2 linked regions of the Arabidopsis thaliana genome follow. The protein of the gene in region 2 interacts with the protein of the main gene of each other region in a biochemical or structural test. Each region holds a gene or a part of one and is shown on either strand. Other genes may lie near its edges.

Region 1 (3,755 bases), about 21 Mb from region 2:
AGCAATCTGCTTGATCCGAATACCGTGCAATGCTTTGATTGGTAGCGGAGTAAACAAGTCGCTTGAGTTACCATGGCCTAATCTCCCAAAATCACCCCTGCAAAGTACACATAAAGGTTAGAGAACACGAGGCTTAAAATATGTGCAAATGAGTGTATAATTAGTTACTGTTTTCTACACAAAAATCTAGAGAGGAACTAGTGGTCATCATCTCATCCCGAATATATCAAACAGACTGAAGAGCAATTGATTCAGCAGCAAAGAAGAAGATAATGATGAGAAACAAACCATCCCCAACTGTAGACTTCCATGCCTGATTGTGAATAAGCAACAGTGTGATCAGCACCACAGGTAACGGAAACAATTTGGTGGCCATCTAAAGCGCTAAGCTGAGTCGGAGAAGGTCGATCCTCTGCATCGCCATGACCTAACTGTCCATCCTCTCCTCGACCCCAAGAACAAACAATGTCACCAGCTACAAAATCAAAACATAAAACTACTCATTAGTAGACGACGAAAGTAAGGGAAACTCGATTAAAGGCCAGATCAAGAGAATTCGCGAAGAGCACAGCCTACTAAAGCAGCGGATTTCACAATTCCGGTGATTATTTGAGTCCGTAATAGAAAAGGAAAAAAAACAGCGAAGAAGAAGAGAGACGTACAGAGAAGAGCGACGGAGTGGCTAGCACCAGCGGAGATGATAAGAACCTTACGAGGAGGAGCCGTAACTTCGTCGGCAGCCATATCCTCCGCCATGGATCACAGTTGCAGTTTTCACAAGATATTTTTTTTGGGGAGAAATGAATTTTGAAAAAAGTAAGAAATTTCTATTTTTTGATAAATTGGGAAATTTTGTAGCTTCTCTTTCACTATCCGTAATCTCTCGAGGGTTGAACAAGGAAAGACAGAGAGAGAAAGCGGTAGATGGTAATAAAGGCGCGATGGAGATTTGCACATGTCATATATCTGCTTTTTGACTTTTTTACTTTTGCTGGTTTTTTTATTTTTTGTTTTAACCGTACAGTAAATCTCTTTTTTGTCGTACAGGCTTTAATTGCAAAAGGGTCCCTCTTCACTTAATAAATCCAAATACGGACCTCACCGGTAAAGTTTTATACTTTCATAATTTCACCATTTCTTTTTTTTTTTGTTTCTTGACCATTTCATTTACCTCTTCACATAAGTAGATTTAAGCCAGTACACATGACATTCTAGATCGTAACTTGTGTTTTATGTGTTCATCATTCACAGGTGTAAGGCGCATAGATCGTAAGAGCCTAATCATATGTTTTTAGTCATGCACACGTGTGAAAGTATACACGTTAGTCAAAAAAAATTCTGAGTTTCATAGTCCAAAGTGACATATCCAATTTGTCTTTTTAGTTATAAATATTCAGTTCAGCTATTTTAGTTTTTCAAAGAGGTCAAATTAAACCTGGATTACAATATGGTGTACAGTTTGTCTTTTTATTATGATTCTGATTATCATATGAAGATACGTCTTGCTACATGTTATTTTATTCAATTATTCAAAATGCATGGTTCTACATATGGAAATATACAGATATACGGTCTACTTACAACTTGATTTTTTTTTTTTTTGTTAAATTACAACTTGAAGATTCTACTATCAACAAAACAAAAACAAAAAAAAATCTTCTATCGATCGAGCGAGATATTCAAATCAAAATACATGGTCAACAGGTCAACTATAGATTCAAAATATATGAATACCTAAATATTCAAATTAAGATATATCAATTCACGATCTAAAACATCCAAATATAGATTTTGCGAAAACGGCCAAAGAAATTATACATAACGGATAAAAATAAATAAAAAATTACATACGGATACTACTTAGTAGTACTTACTAGATTACCTAAAACCCATAATCTTACATATACATATGGATAAAGGTAACATCGATGAATTACTTGTTTCATCCGATCTGGAACGAATATATCACCTCGCTCGACCTAACATTTATGTGAAACTAAAAGGTTGTTTACATTGAGATAAAACCAACATTATATGCTTGTCAGTGAGGGAAGTTGTGACATCTATTATAGTAAGAAAATTAAATGAATGAAGATATTTTTGCATTGCCTGATACATGCATTATATGTATTGTCCAATTTTGGCATTAAAGTCAACGAGACAAAACTCTAGATCAAGATGGTCTCTAATGTTGACATTTGTTGCGACCTCTTTCAAATGGGTTCATCTCATCATTCATCACACAAATTTGTTGCATTATCTTTTATAATCTTGTTAAATAAACATCATTACGAACAATTTGTGGAAAAATGGAAATTATATGAAAGCCATTGGAAGTACTATATACAATTTAATGCACATGACTTCAACAGAAAATACTAGAGAGACAAGATAAGACACCTATAATAATTTAAGCTTGACATGAAGTGCTAAACAATTACTGTTTAGAGACATATATGCACATGAAACTAGGAAAGAAAAAACATTGCGGTGAGTACATGTCAATGATTGTCGATGAACAAATTACAAAACAGTAAAAATCAACACCCACCCACATGGGTTCCGGTATAAGGGTCAAGTTTGGCGATAACACAAATTTTAGGGTTTGCAAAAATGTTGTAACCATAATCGGTGATGAAATATGGAAGATCATGTGAATATTTAGATGATGAAACTATTTGGCTGAAAAGACAGTTAACTTTAAGCTTTATTACTTGAGATGCCCCGTGACAGACAACGAATGACCTTGGAGAGAATCACACAGATGATGCTAGAGGTAGCTTTAATGTGTTATATTTGCGAATGAAGATGCTTCACGCTCCTGTCGAATTCTTCTCTCTTTAGAGAAAGAACAGACCATTATTAGTTTAGCCCACTCAAGAGAAAAAACCGAAAACAATTGCAATAAATGCTTCAAAGTGCAATAAGGAACCATAAGATAGTTAGCATCAACCTCCACTTCATACTGTCTTTTACAAGAAGACATACATTCATCTGAACAAATTGCTACCAAATTCGGCATTTAATAAGCTGTCTCGTTACTTAGGATTTTCATAACCACACAATTTTTTGTTGGATAAGATTCTAGTAATGTGTCAATATTTCAAAGGAAAACTATAATGCCGACAGACACATAACTTGATCCACAAACTTCCATTGGACTAATCTACTACTCGATTTATCATTCAGTTAAAAGCAATTCTATACAATGAAAGTTACTGCAAGTTTGACCTCTCAAGATTTAGGCTAACCTGACAAAACAGAGCAAAATCTTACAAGATTTAGGTTTAAATAAGACGTGTAGGAACCAAGAAACTAAGAACTACATGAGATTTAAGATGGTTCTTATTTCTTCATCTTCCATACATAACTTAAATGTGAATTCTACAAATGATTTTCTTCATCTCTTTTCTTTACATTTGATTCCATTTTATGTTTGCAAATAATGAGCAATCACAACAACTGTAAAAAACATCAATTCAAGATACTCCTTTTCAGCTTCGGTCAGCTATTTGGTTGTTCGTTATTGGTGTCCATTGCTGACTTATCCATCTCATCATCAGAATCAATGACATTTTCAAAGTCATAATATGGATGCGCCTGCACATTTAAAAACCGATGTCGCTATGTATGTGTATCAAAGAAGTAAAACAACTCGTTGGTTCATTATCAGCATCGTAAGTTAGTTACCTTTGGTCGCGGTTTAACAGCTTCGAAACTATGAAATTGAGGATCCGAGAAATCAGGCGCCTGCA
Region 2 (3,755 bases):
GCTGTGTTCTTGCTGAATTGCTTCTGGGACAGGTAATATGACTGTCCAAACTTTCCTCCATTTATCTTTTACAAATGATTTGATTTACCGAATGATGTCTAAAGTTATATATTACCAATCTTTGGCTTGTCCAACTTTTGGTTAGCCTCTATTTCCAGGTGAGAGTGGAGTTGACCAGCTAGTTGAGATAATAAAGGTACTTCAATTTGGTTAAACAAACACACATAATCCTAGCCATTGCTATATTGAACATAGAGTGGATCATTGATTATATGGAATGAAGAGGCTCCATTTCCTGCTATTGATTGCCATCATTTTGTTTACTGTGTGTGTTACAGGTTCTTGGAACACCAACACGGGAGGAAATCAAATGCATGAATCCAAACTACACAGAATTCAAATTCCCGCAAATAAAGGCTCATCCTTGGCACAAAGTAAGCAAACACATCATCAGTTTTTCCTTAACATTGATCTCCATATATTCTTACGATTGAAAAATCTGTTGTTGGTTCTTAAGATATTCCATAAGCGTACACCTCCAGAAGCTGTAGACCTTGTCTCAAGACTTCTCCAGTATTCTCCAAACCTCAGATCAACCGCTGTAAGTCAATGAAGTGATTACCATAATAACATTATGTTTGATATATCTGGTTGGTTGATTCAAACTTACTTGTTATTGTAGATGGAGGCGATAGTTCACCCGTTCTTCGATGAGCTACGTGATCCCAATACACGTCTTCCTAATGGTCGTGCCTTGCCTCCTCTCTTCAACTTTAAACCTCAAGGTCTGTCTCCTCCAAATATGCTTTTGTTTGTTTCCCAATGCTCCGTTTTAACAAAGACTAAAAGTGTGTGCTTCTTGTTAAATATGTAGAGCTAAAAGGAGCAAGTTTAGAGTTGTTGTCCAAGCTTATACCTGACCACGCCCGAAAACAATGTTCCTTCCTCGCTCTCTAAATCTCTTCCTCTCTCTCTATATATATGTGTGTGTGTGTGTATGTACACATGCATATAATATGCTTATCGTTTCTAAGTAATGGAGATAGCTTCTCAGGATTATCATTAGCTTTCATCTTTCATGTATCTTTGTTGTTTATTGTCTTATCACAACCTTTGTACTTTATTACATACAATGATTAGTGTAATGTATGTGACGGTCTTTGACTCGCCGGTCGCTACAGTTATGTTGGATACTAAATTATAAAATAAACTTCTCGCTCGTCACGTGTCATTGCATGCATCCAAAGCTCATGCTTCAAAGCTTAGCCAAACTTATTTTTAAAAAAGCCTATGTTCTGTGTAAAAGTGTCATTTACGAGAGTTTCTTGTTTAAGTTTAACCAATTTCACTTCCTCAAACGAAATACGGTAATTGGTAATATCCTCTAAACATGAATTATCATTGACTATAAAAATTAGTTTCGCAAATTGCCTCTAAGCACCACAAGTGTCACGTAACGTGTCATTTATTCATGTTTATTGATTTAGTTAATTAAAAACATTGTAGTTTAATTATTGAAGTAGTACAAAGAATAGGGACTAAATTGCAATACTCTGAATTTGTTTTTTTCTTTTTTAGAATCATCCGACTTTTTGTTTCACGGTTTCCTCCTCCAGTAAACTGACGACGATACAAGCTCTCTCACCAACGGCGACAGTATCTTTGCCGGCGGCGGGAGCGCTTCTGCTTAATCTGTAGCTCAAACTAAAAATTCTCTGGGTATTACTCATGGTGATTTGGAATAACGATGATGATGATTTTTTGGAGATTGATAACTTTCAATCTTCTCCACGGTCATCTCCAATACATGCAATGCAGTGTAGGGTCGAAAATCTAGCTGGTGTAGCCGTGGTAAGTGATCCAATCCAACAGTCATAAGTTTATGCCTAAGCAGAATCATTGCTTATGTGAATTTTTGTTTTGTTTCAGACAACTAGTTCTTTGAGCTCTCCTACTGAGACAACTGATTTAGTTCAGATGGGCTTCTCAGACGAGGTTTTTGCTACATTGTTTGACATGGGATTTCCTGTTGAGATGATTTCTAGAGCGATCAAGGAAACTGGTGAGGCTTTTTTCTCTTGTTTGTATTCCTTTCTGGATATATATGATCCGTAACTTGATACCAATAATTATACAGGACCAAATGTAGAAACTTCGGTTATAATTGATACTATCTCCAAATACTCAGTGAGTTTCTAATACTTTGATCTCTTGGGTTGCTTGTCATTTACATGTGCTTCTGTCATCACAGTATTCATATCCTCTCCTTTGTTTATTTGTGAAGAGCGACTGTGAAGCTGGTTCTTCCAAGTCCAAGGCTATTGATCATTTCCTTGCTATGGGATTTGATGAAGAAAAAGTTGTCAAAGCCATTCAAGAACATGGTACTTACAGATTTCTCTCCTCCTTAAGTAAGAAGTAACACTTTATCACTTTGCTGATATTTGCTTTATAAATCGCAGGAGAAGACAATATGGAAGCAATTGCAAATGCATTGCTCTCTTGTCCAGTAAGCGATGTTACGAAAATATACTGTCTCTTGACATTAAAAAAATAGTACTTAAAGTTCGTTGATGGTTTGTAGGAGGCTAAGAAACTGCCAGCAGCAGTAGAGGAAGAAGATGGCATTGACTGGTCATCAAGTGATGATGATACCAATTACACCGATATGTTAAACTCAGATGATGAGGTATAACTCTTTCATGTTGGTGATAACATATTTAAGCATCCCAGGTTTGAATTGTAAATGTATCTCACTGCTATTTTGTATATGTATCTAATTTTATGCGTTCTTAATCTATTTTAAATCATGACAGAAAGATCCAAACTCAAATGAAAATGGCAGCAAAATACGGTCTTTGGTGAAGATGGGTTTCTCAGAGCTTGAAGCTTCTTTAGCTGTCGAGAGATGTGGTAACTTTATTTTAAACGATTGCCATTGTCATTAAATTTTAGTTCCGTTTTGTTCAGGTTTCTTCTAGACAACGTCGTATAAATTGCTTGGTTTAGCCTCTGATTTAGTGGTGTAGGCCTTAGATGTGTTTGCTGAGCATTTTGATTGTATTTCACTAATCGAAAGTTGTCATTAGTTCTGTCTTAGCTTCTGGTTCTGTGATGTACGCCTTAGATATGTTTGTAGAGAATGTGATCGTATTTCACAAAATGATAAAAGTTGTCAGTACTTGATAAAATTGTATGTTCACTAGTTCCTTTTTATTCAGGTTTCTTCTAGAGGAAGTGGCATAAGCCAAATTGCTTAGTTTTAGTGTAATGTGATAGTCAAATTGTGGCTTTAGCCTCTGGTTCTGTGATTTAGGCTTGAAATGTGTTTGCTGAGCATTGTGATTGTATTTCACTAAATGATACAGTTGTCAGATGTTAATATATATCTCTTACTTACTCTAAGTATGTTGCTGCCTTATCCAGACTCATATGATTGTAATTTCAGGAGAAAATGTGGATATTGCAGAGCTCACAGACTTCCTTTGTGCTGCTCAAATGGCTAGGGAATTTAGTGAGTTTTACACTGAACATGAAGAACAAAAGGTACTGTTAAAACCTTTTTTATAATCTATCTTTTGTAAGTTAATTCCTTTGGGAACTGATTATTTTGGGAAATTTGGTGTATGCAGCCTAGACATAATATTAAGAAAAGGCGGTTTGAGTCAAAAGGAGAGCCAAGATCATCTGTTGATGACGAGCCGATTCGTCTACCAAATCCAATGATAGGATTTGGGGTTCCAAACGAGCCCGGA

What was found. Proteins that work in one complex are often made in the same cells at the same time.
Region 1: the proteins of DRM2 (region 2) and UVR8 form a complex in vitro, tested with the Arabidopsis thaliana proteins (one study listed by BioGRID).

The regions. Positions count from the first base shown.
Region 1 is NC_003076.8:25,557,832-25,561,586, forward strand, and holds the start of UVR8 (Regulator of chromosome condensation (RCC1) family protein), read right to left. Parts: upstream 1,669-3,755; 5' UTR 1,585-1,668; intron 1,154-1,584; 5' UTR 757-1,153; coding exon 663-756; intron 476-662; coding exon 289-475; intron 98-288; coding exon 1-97. Other genes in the region: PP7 (serine/threonine phosphatase 7), read right to left, coding at 3,505-3,600, 3,691-3,755. UniProt on the Arabidopsis thaliana protein: UV-B specific signaling component that acts as a UV-B photoreceptor and plays a key role in establishing UV-protective responses in plants.
Region 2 is NC_003076.8:4,716,552-4,720,306, reverse strand, and holds the start of DRM2 (domains rearranged methyltransferase 2), read left to right. Parts: upstream 1-1,602; 5' UTR 1,603-1,728; coding exon 1,729-1,851; intron 1,852-1,929; coding exon 1,930-2,062; intron 2,063-2,137; coding exon 2,138-2,187; intron 2,188-2,284; coding exon 2,285-2,384; intron 2,385-2,462; coding exon 2,463-2,509; intron 2,510-2,584; coding exon 2,585-2,689; intron 2,690-2,816; coding exon 2,817-2,913; intron 2,914-3,448; coding exon 3,449-3,546; intron 3,547-3,632; coding exon 3,633-3,755. Other genes in the region: SK13 (shaggy-like kinase 13), read left to right, coding at 1-32, 146-196, 339-434, 518-601, 683-785, 875-957. UniProt on the Arabidopsis thaliana protein: Involved in de novo DNA methylation. Controls asymmetric and CpNpG methylation. Required for FWA gene silencing but not for the maintenance of SUP gene silencing. Functionally redundant to CMT3 to maintain non-CpG methylation.